3 linked regions of the Kluyveromyces lactis genome follow. The main gene of each other region encodes a partner of the protein of the gene in region 3 in a complex. Links are inferred from orthologs where the notes say so. Each region holds a gene or a part of one and is shown on either strand. Other genes may lie near its edges. The genes, in order: GET2, GET4 and GET3.

Evidence for each region.
Region 1: the proteins of GET3 (region 3) and GET2 are in contact, whole or in part, in a crystal structure (PDB 3ZS9), measured with the Saccharomyces cerevisiae proteins. The link is inferred for Kluyveromyces lactis from reciprocal best matches to the Saccharomyces cerevisiae genes GET3 and GET2. Residues at the interface, in NP_010183.1 of Saccharomyces cerevisiae: Val5, Ser11, Pro233, Phe246, Leu249, Tyr250, Glu253, Arg254, Ile256, Gln257, Ile260, Asp265, Val266, Asn267, Gln301, Glu304, Leu305, Tyr306, Glu307, Asp308, Phe309, His310; in NP_011006.2 of Saccharomyces cerevisiae: Lys9, Arg10, Leu13, Arg14, Arg16, Arg17, Lys20, Phe21, Ala26, Arg29, Leu30, Lys32, Ile33, Thr34, Gln36, Ala37.
Region 2: the proteins of GET3 (region 3) and GET4 are in contact, whole or in part, in a crystal structure (PDB 5BWK), measured with the Saccharomyces cerevisiae proteins. The link is inferred for Kluyveromyces lactis from reciprocal best matches to the Saccharomyces cerevisiae genes GET3 and GET4. Residues at the interface, in NP_010183.1 of Saccharomyces cerevisiae: Val5, Phe230, Pro233, Asp234, Glu253, Gln257, Ile260, Ser261, Asp263, Asp265, Val266, Asn267, Glu304, Leu305, Tyr306, Glu307, Asp308, Phe309; in NP_014807.3 of Saccharomyces cerevisiae: Ala11, Lys12, Thr16, Arg19, Lys23, Gln34, Thr35, Ile39, Arg42, Tyr43, Arg45, Ser46, Ser48, His51.

Annotation. Positions count from the first base shown.
Region 1 is NC_006039.1:799,774-802,524, reverse strand, and holds GET2 (GET complex subunit GET2), read right to left. Parts: upstream 1,514-2,751; coding exon 563-1,513; downstream 1-562. Other genes in the region: KLLA0_C09218g (VOC family protein), read left to right, coding at 1-347; SEC28 (coatomer subunit epsilon), read right to left, coding at 1,824-2,705. UniProt on the Saccharomyces cerevisiae protein: Required for the post-translational delivery of tail-anchored (TA) proteins to the endoplasmic reticulum.
Region 2 is NC_006042.1:1,886,947-1,889,795, forward strand, and holds GET4 (protein GET4), read right to left. Parts: upstream 1,459-2,849; coding exon 550-1,458; downstream 1-549. Other genes in the region: polyphosphatase DDP1, read left to right, coding at 1-507; dynamin-like GTPase SEY1, read left to right, coding at 1,857-2,849. UniProt on the Saccharomyces cerevisiae protein: May play a role in insertion of tail-anchored proteins into the endoplasmic reticulum membrane.
Region 3 is NC_006041.1:143,268-146,387, reverse strand, and holds GET3 (guanine nucleotide exchange factor GET3), read right to left. Parts: upstream 1,622-3,120; coding exon 572-1,621; downstream 1-571. Other genes in the region: ATG16 (Atg16p), read left to right, coding at 1-119; BUG1 (Bug1p), read left to right, coding at 2,175-3,120. UniProt on the Saccharomyces cerevisiae protein: ATPase required for the post-translational delivery of tail-anchored (TA) proteins to the endoplasmic reticulum. Recognizes and selectively binds the transmembrane domain of TA proteins in the cytosol.

The sequences.
Region 1 (2,751 bases), on a different chromosome or scaffold from region 3:
AAGCAAGAAAATTCTACGATGCCGTTCTTGGCGTCATTGGTGTTGCTCCCGCACAGGATGACAGTGATGGAAATGGACACAAGAGGTTGTTCTATGCTAAAGGCGACTTTTTCCTTTTAGTCACTCAACCAATTAATGACCAAGCTGCCACTCCAGGTAACGGTTATACCATTGGTTTCAAATGTGACTCTGAAGAAGAAGTTACAAAGTTCCACGATGTTGCAGTTGCTAACGGCGGTACTTCTATCGAGGATGCACCTGGTTACCGTCCATCGGGCTTGTTCTTGTCTTACGTTCGTGACGTCGATGGTAACAAGTTGTGTGCCCTTTACCAACCACCAAAATAAGCATTTCGTCTTGGTGTAGTGCTTTGCTCTTTTGTGTATGATATAAGTAGGCTTTAAATAGTTCTATGAATGAAATGAAAACATACTAAAGCGTTCTTTTAAGTGGAAGTACAACACATATTCATGTTTAAGGGAATAAACAATTGATAATTAGAATTATATAGTTTTGATCGTTAATGAACGAGTTTCCATTTTCACAACCAAAAGATACTTTTCTATTGAATCCCTGCAATCGGTGGTTCTATTGGAACTGAAATAGGGAATGACGAATGATAATATTTCATGACACCGAATAACACAAGAACAAAGCATATATCTGTCACGTACATTGACGCTACGTCAAAATACTCTAATGCAAGACCGATCTTTCCTTGAATGTTCCTAATAGGTAAAATGCCTTCTGGTATCATTGTCAGATACTTCAAAATGCCTCCTGCGTTTTGGGTGGCCGTAACATTGTTATCTCTTTGAAGTTTCTTCAACATTTGATAGTAGATAGAGATGAATACTATTTCTAGTCCGGTAAAGATGGAGAAGAAGTTCGATCTTTCCACTATTTGGGATAACAAGTTGGAAGCTTGAAGAACAGTGGGATTGGGATGCATGATAAAGTAGACGTATGGTGCAAGAAGAGCCCATTTTATTAAAATGATGTAGGATTTCAATTTGGACACTTTGAACTTGTAATACTTCAAGACTTTCTCATCAACAAAATTAGGGAGCATCTGTGTAGCAGAAGCAGTAGTATTCGTATCGTTGTTTAGCAAAGAACTGAAAAGGTCCGGTGTACTGGCATCTGGTGATCCATTTTGGAATCCTCCACCTTGTTGTTGCATCTTAAGCAACTGTTGGAAAAGGGCAACCTCAGGATTCGTTTCAGCGGCATCAGTTTCAGAATTGTCCTTGTTACCGGGAATACTAGAAAGTAAATCTTGAATCTCTTTGGTAGACTTTTCAACTTCTTCGTCACTCACATTGGATGATTTCTTGTTACCTGACGGAGTAACTTTTGGCTCATCAAGAACAGATGTTGAAGACAAAAAGCTATTCTGCTGTTGACCAGTGATCTTGTTCAACCTGCTGGAAGCACCTCCGTTGGAAAACTTCTGTTGCCTTCTTTCCCTCAACAATTTACGTTTCTCAGCATCAGACAATTCAGTAGCCATCTTGTAAACTCCAAATTCTGTGTGAATTACAGCTCAATTCGGGGGAAACTAAAGTAGAATTAGATCGACAATCAAAATAAGAAGATCAACTCCCCTGAATATTCGAACTAAATACAACGCAGGTGCCTTGTAAAACGATACCGAGTGACTGGTTTCAAAACTAACCCTTCACATTGTATAGGATGTTTGATCAATCCGCTTTATCTTGACAGTTCCCACGAAATTGATGGGAAAAAGAACAATGTTACCCGGAAAGTATCGCCAATACCAATACTATTTGCTACTCAAGATCTATTTGATATATATAGATTTAGGCTGTGTACTTTGCCACAATTTGATCGAAAGTCTTGTTATTTTCAAGGTCGGCAACACATAGTGGGTGAGATGGTTTCAATTGTTGCAATTCCGATCTCAATTCGTTTGCATTTCCACCAGATAAGATGGTGTACGTAATCTTATTTGCAAGTAGATCAGGCTTGTACGTTTGTGCTTCTTGTTTGATATCGTAGAACTCGCTTTCTAAGAGGTCGATGATTGCTTTGGATTCAGGCAAATGCGATTGTTGGAGGTGTAAATTCAATAGGCCTAATTGAGTCTTCCAACTTGGGAAAGTTTGAGACAACTCTTCAAAGAAATAGAAATTGGATCCAGTGATCTCTTTACCCTGGTTGAAGTTGATGTATGACTCTGCAAGATTCAAAATTATTTCATCGTCGTTCGATTGCTCCTGAAGTGCTTGGAAATTTTCAAACATAGTCGAGGCAATGGTTGGTTGATTATCCAACAAAGTTATTTGGATGGCCGTTAACAGTAGTTCCGGGGTTCCTCTTGTTTCATCGGAGTCAATTCCTTCAACGGCAACCTCCAAAGCAGTTTTAAACTCGCCCTTTATAGTCAATGCACTTGCTAATAAGTTCAATGCAAATGGAGATCTGCCCGCCTTTTCAACGGTTTGTTCTAGTGCAGTGATTGAGCCTGTAGGTTTGCTTAAAAATTTATAGTAAGCCTCAAATACAGGCCCAAGTGAGCCAGAATCAGCACTACCCTCACTGAACTGGGACAATGCAATCAATGATCTATTTCTGTAGTAAGTCAACGCCTCATCTTCAGTTTTGTTAAACTTAGAAACTTCGTTCAACGCTTCTTCATAGTTACCAGTATAAAACTGCTGTTTTACAGTAAAATAGTCCATTTCTTCTGAGTTGATATTTTTTTCTCAACAAATCTGACGTCGGAAA
Region 2 (2,849 bases), on a different chromosome or scaffold from region 3:
GTAGGACGTGAGAATCAGTTGTATTCAAGTGTCACTGGTGCTAGACTCGTTGCAGGATGTATAATACTGGATGAAAGCCGAGAGAATGTCTTAATGGTCCAGTCATCCGCTCATAAGAAGAGATGGGTGTTGCCAAAGGGTGGTATTGAAAGTGATGAACCTGACTTTGAGTCCGCTGCAAGAAGAGAGACCTGGGAAGAAGCTGGTGCCACAGGCGATATAGTGAAAGCACTTGGTTCCATTGAGGATATGAGACCTCCAAAGGACTGGAACCCAGATTTGGAAGCATTCGAGAGTTCGAATGACGAAACTGTTAACAAATGGCCTCCCAGGTCCGAATTCCATTTCTTCGAGATGATTAATGTTAAATTGGAGGACAATTATCCTGAAGTGAAGACAAGAAACCGTCAATGGTTCTCCTACGAACAGGCCAAAGAAAACTTGACCCGTGCCAAGAGGCCAGAGCTCATTGAGGCTCTGAATAGAAGTAGCATCAAGAAAAGTTAGCATTATATATAACATAGAGTATGTTTATACCGAAGACTATTATTATTTACCTCCAAAGAAACCAGACATCATATCTTGCAAGAAGTTGATTGGTTTCTCGACCTTGATACCGAAGTATTCTTGGCCCAAGAATTGTAGCTCAGAGTTGTATTTGTTGGCAAGAGTTGAGTATTGTGATTTTAGATTCTGGAAAAGAATAGTTTCTTGAGTTTGACATGCGATTATTAACAACTGTAAAAAGTTCAACGATTCCCACGATGAGAAATAATCAATCTTATATGGGCCTTTCTCTGTTAACTCAAATTTTACATCTGTCTTGTGATTGGTAAACCGTTTTAAAAGTTCTTTAGATCCCTCCAATGCATATTCGATATTGAAGATGAACAAATAGTTGAATATCATTCTTGATATGAAATCGGGGAAACTGGAGTCCTCACCGGATTGCTGATACCAGTCCCAAAGTAGATCCACATACCGCTTCATCGAGTCATGAGTACCTAGCACTAGATATCTTTCCGCTTCGTATGTATATCCACCTTCAAGTAATTTTGTAGCGATCGCTGAATGTAAGTATGGGTCACCAAACTTATATTCACTATGTTTCACAGACCAATTGTTCATCCCTGTCACTACATCCTTTAAATTTGGTTCCTGGCCGTCAACGAGGACGAGTAATTGAATGAGTCTAGAGACCGAAGAGTCATTGCATGGAACCGATGCCAAATCGTAAACTTCAAGTAGATAGAAGATCAAATCTGAACCAGAACCACCTTGCTTGGACCTCAAAAACGCACCGGCTGCATGAGAAATCAAATCAATCGATTCATCATACTTTTTGGCCCGCACATATCTATTAGCAATGGTTCTTAACGTCTGATGGGCTTCATAATAATCACCAGCTTCAATTCTCGCATTGAATCTCTGTAAGGTCTTCGTTAATTTATCACTCATCTCTAAGTGTCTCGATCAAAAAACAATTAAGGTATGTAAAAACTCGCCTAACGGATTCAAAAGGCCTCTTGATAAGTACAAAATAACTTGATTCTGAGAAACACGAAAGCTGTGGTTCACTCGTTGGACCTTTACAATATGATCATGTTCTTTCTTTCTCTTCCTGGCGAAATTTCGGACCGTTAAAATATTGAAACTCAACAAAACCAATATTGAAATTGACTCGTTCATTAACTATTCTGATGAAAGATAGGGTAAAGGACAATAACAGCTGGAGCAGCAGCTGAGCTATATTGCCAAGGGATTTAATTACAATTTAGAACCGAGTAATATCTGCTTAGTGAGGTGATACATTTCGTTTTTGTTACATTATTAAGGGAACGCTGTCAAACAGTAGCATGAGTGATCTCAAAGAAGCTATTCAGCTCATCGATGAGAACAAACAATTCAATCCCTCGACATTGAACTATTTCACGAAGTGCCTTGGGGATAAAAATGTTGGAGTAAAGTATCATGTCATATCTGTTTTTGGATCGCAATCAAGTGGTAAATCGACGTTATTGAATAAATTGTTCGATACAAAATTCGATACCATGGATGCACAGGTTAAACGACAACAGACTACTAGAGGTATTTGGTTATCCCATTCTGCCAATATATACAGCTCTGGAGCTGCCAACCAATCCATTCCTGATTTCTTTGTTTTGGATGTCGAAGGTTCGGATGGTGCGGAGAGAGGTGAGGATCAAGACTTTGAAAGGAAAGCTGCTCTATTTGCATTATCAGTGTCCGAGGTTCTAATCGTGAATATGTGGGAAAACCAGGTCGGGCTATACCAGGGGAATAACATGGGGTTGTTGAAAACGGTTTTCGAGGTGAATCTTTCGTTATTTGGCAAGAATGAAAATCGTCACAAGGTAGCATTGCTGTTTGTCATTAGAGATTTTACCGGCCAAACACCATTGGAAAGTTTAGAAGCCAGTCTTGTCCTGGAATTAGAAAAAATGTGGTCACAGCTAAGTAAGCCTGAAGGTTGTGAAGATACATCTTTCCATGATTTTTTCGTTCCAAATTTCTTCGGTTTGGGCCACAAGGTCTTCCAACCTGAACAGTTTGATAATGATGTGAAGAGTTTGGGTGACTTGTTCGTTGACCAAGATGCCTCTTTCTTCAAAGATGAATACCATACTCACTTGCCATTGGATGGATGGTCTCTTTATGCAGAAAACTGCTGGGAACAAATTGAGAATAACAAAGATCTTGATTTGCCGACCCAGCAGATTCTCGTAGCTAGATTCAAAACCGACGAGATTGCAGCAGCAGCATACAACAAATTTTTGAATGACTATCAATCACAGGTCACTGACTCCTTGGATGGGAAAGAACTTGCA
Region 3 (3,120 bases):
AAAACAATCTTTTACAGGAAAGGTTGACACACATTCAAGCAGAATATGACACCTTGATTGAACGATGGTTACTAAAAGCACAAAGAGAGGCCGATATCATGAATACGAGACTTAAATAGATATGACATACTCTATATGCCTCAAGTTATAAATGAGTTGCGAGTTTTATAAGTGATTTGAAGTTAATTCCCTGCGACTCAATGGTACATCAAATCCCAAGTGCATGAAACTCTTTAAAAATTCAGTTTTCCAAGAAATTTGCTTCAGTAGCTCAGTCGGAAGAGCGTCAGTCTCATAATCTGAAGGTCGAGAGTTCGAACCTCCCCTGGAGCATTTCAATTTACCAAAATTTTTTTAGCTTTCGGATCTTTTCGTTTACTATCACGAAGCCTGAAGTAATAATGTTTTCATGTTGCAACTAAAGTAGATGTTTAATGCTACATTATAGAGGCTAATTCGATGCAATGATTCAATTTAGAATCTGCTCTGCAATTATTTAGTGTACAAATAATAAAAAATTATAGATTGGCCGTGTAATGCTAGGTATCAATGATTCATATTTATCTTCCTTTCAGTCTTGTTGTTCCAATTCATAAATCACTTTGCTGTCTGCAACTGGATCGTATGGTTTTCTCAAGAATTGGGAGAATTTTTTCAAGTTGTTTAAACCTCTAATTTCACCTGCACACAATGGCATCTTAACGATATGGAAATCTTCGTACAATTCATCAATTTGGTCCAAATACTTCTTTTGCATCTTCCATCTGGATTGGCACCTTTTACAGCTGTCTCCTTCGTCATACTCAGCAAATAATAACTGGTTTACAATGATGGAGTTCACGTCCATATCGTATGAGATCAATTCCTGTACCAATCTTTCAGTTTCGTACAAAGACAAGAACTCACTGATACAAACACAGACAAAAGTTGTCATATCAGGATTGGTGAATTGTTCCTTGATTTTTTCCACATTAGACTTCAATTCACTCATTTTACCAACAAGATCGACGTTATTGGCACCAGCCAAAGAATTCAACATTGGTCCCAATCTTGCAGTGATTTCTCCGAATTTCTCCAAGAGTTTAGATAGAGTGCTTGGTAACTGTAAAAACCTTAGAGTGTGACCTGTTGGTGCGGTATCAAAAATAACGGTATCATACCTGTCACCTTCACCCTGTTCTTGGTTTTTGATGTGTTTCATCACTTCCATGAAAGAAAGTGCCTCATCAATACCTGGAATCGATCCTGTCAATTCAGATAGTGCACCACCTTGCAAAAGATCACTGAACTCTCCCGATCCAGTTGCATTATTGGCAACAGCCATATCATTCATATCCTTCAAAGCGGCAGAAGGGTCAATCTCCATACATGACAAGTTGTTCATCCCAGTGACTTTTCTTGCATCTTTACCAAACTTCTCACCGAAGGCGTCGCTTAAATTGTGTGCAGGATCTGTAGAAATCAATAGATATTGTTTCTCTGGTTGTGCCAAAGCCATTTGAATGGCAATCGAACAAGATGACGTCGTCTTACCGACACCACCCTTACCACCGACAAATATCCATCTGTGTGTTGAGGAAGTTATCAAAGAGTTTAGATCTGGTTCAACTGTTAAATCCATTGTACTTTTCCGCTTTACTTGGTCTCAGGTTTACACACTTACTGATTGTTATTCCTACAGTTGAAATAAGAGGGCGTCTTAGTTGTAAAACTTCTGTTTATCTACGCATGTCGCCACTAAAAGTGACAACAAATGCTAAATATCTTGCTGAAGACTTCTTCTACGTTCTTTTAAAGAACACGTCACTATATACGGTGGTGATAATAATTTGATATTTACCAATCGCATACCGAATAATAAAGAACATGGTACAAATACTTTGAGTTTGCTTCTCAAAAAGTCTTGAATCTTGTTCTCTTTCGAACCTAAATGGCTTTGAAACATTGTGAAATTAAACGATATTATTTGATCGATGTTTGCCTCAATGATGGTGATTCCTTTCTTATTAAATATGTGTGAACCATAACGACACGTTTAGATCAAAAAAAAAAGTTGCCCCATATGAAATAAGAATTTACATGGTGAATGCCAAATCTGAAACAATTGCGAGCTAAATATTAAAACCAATTGGCGTCTTCAATGCAAGTGAGTACACACATTCGAACAGTTGATTATGTCTGAACTATCCCCCGAGGAAGAAAGAGCCAGAAAGCTCGAAGAAGCCAAGATAAGGGTTGAAGAGTTAAAGAAGAAGAATAAAAACAAGAAGAATAAGAAGAAGAAGGACAAGGAAGATCTTGAAGCAGCTGAAGTCAAAACTGAAACTGAAACTGAATTGGAACCGACTGATACTAATGTATCAGAGAGTCCGGTTCATTCAGATGAACAACCAATCGTGGAAGAGACAAAAGCTGAAGAAAAGGCTGAGATAAATGCTGATGCAAAGGGCAATGACAACAACGAAGAGAAGTTTGAAAAGGAGTCTGTGGAGAAGTCTGAAAAAGAGTCTGCGGAGAACAAGAAAGACTCCGAGGAGGAAGTCCTCGAGAAGGAAGCAACTGATATACCCAACCCAACCGAGGAAGTGTCTAAAGAAGCTTTTGCAGTTCAACAAAAAGAGGAAGAACCAATAGAGGCAAAAAGTACAGATGAAGTTGAAGAATTGTTTGGCGGGAATGATGATAAAGAGAAAGATTTCCTTTCGACGATACAAGAACAGAAAAGCCAAGATGAAGTAATAAACCTCAAGGAAGAAGTTTCAAAGCTAAAAGATCAAGTAAAGCAATTGAAGTTTGTCAACATAGATCAAGAAAGCTCCATAGAAGAGCTTGAAGAACAGATAAACATCATGAAATCTCAACTCAATGATAAAACTGTACAATTGCTGTCCGCTCAGCAGGAGCTATCTACGTCTAGACAAGAAGTAGAGCAGCTTAGAGCAACACAATCACCACAACTAACCCCTGTGGAATTCTCTTCCTTTGATAGACATTCTCCATCCAAATTCGAGCCATCGAGACAGATTCAGCATCCAACGACAGACCCTGTTATGTTAGCTAAGTGGAAGAACTGGAATGTCGATATGACAAATTGGAGATCAGTTGGTGTTGGCCCAGTTG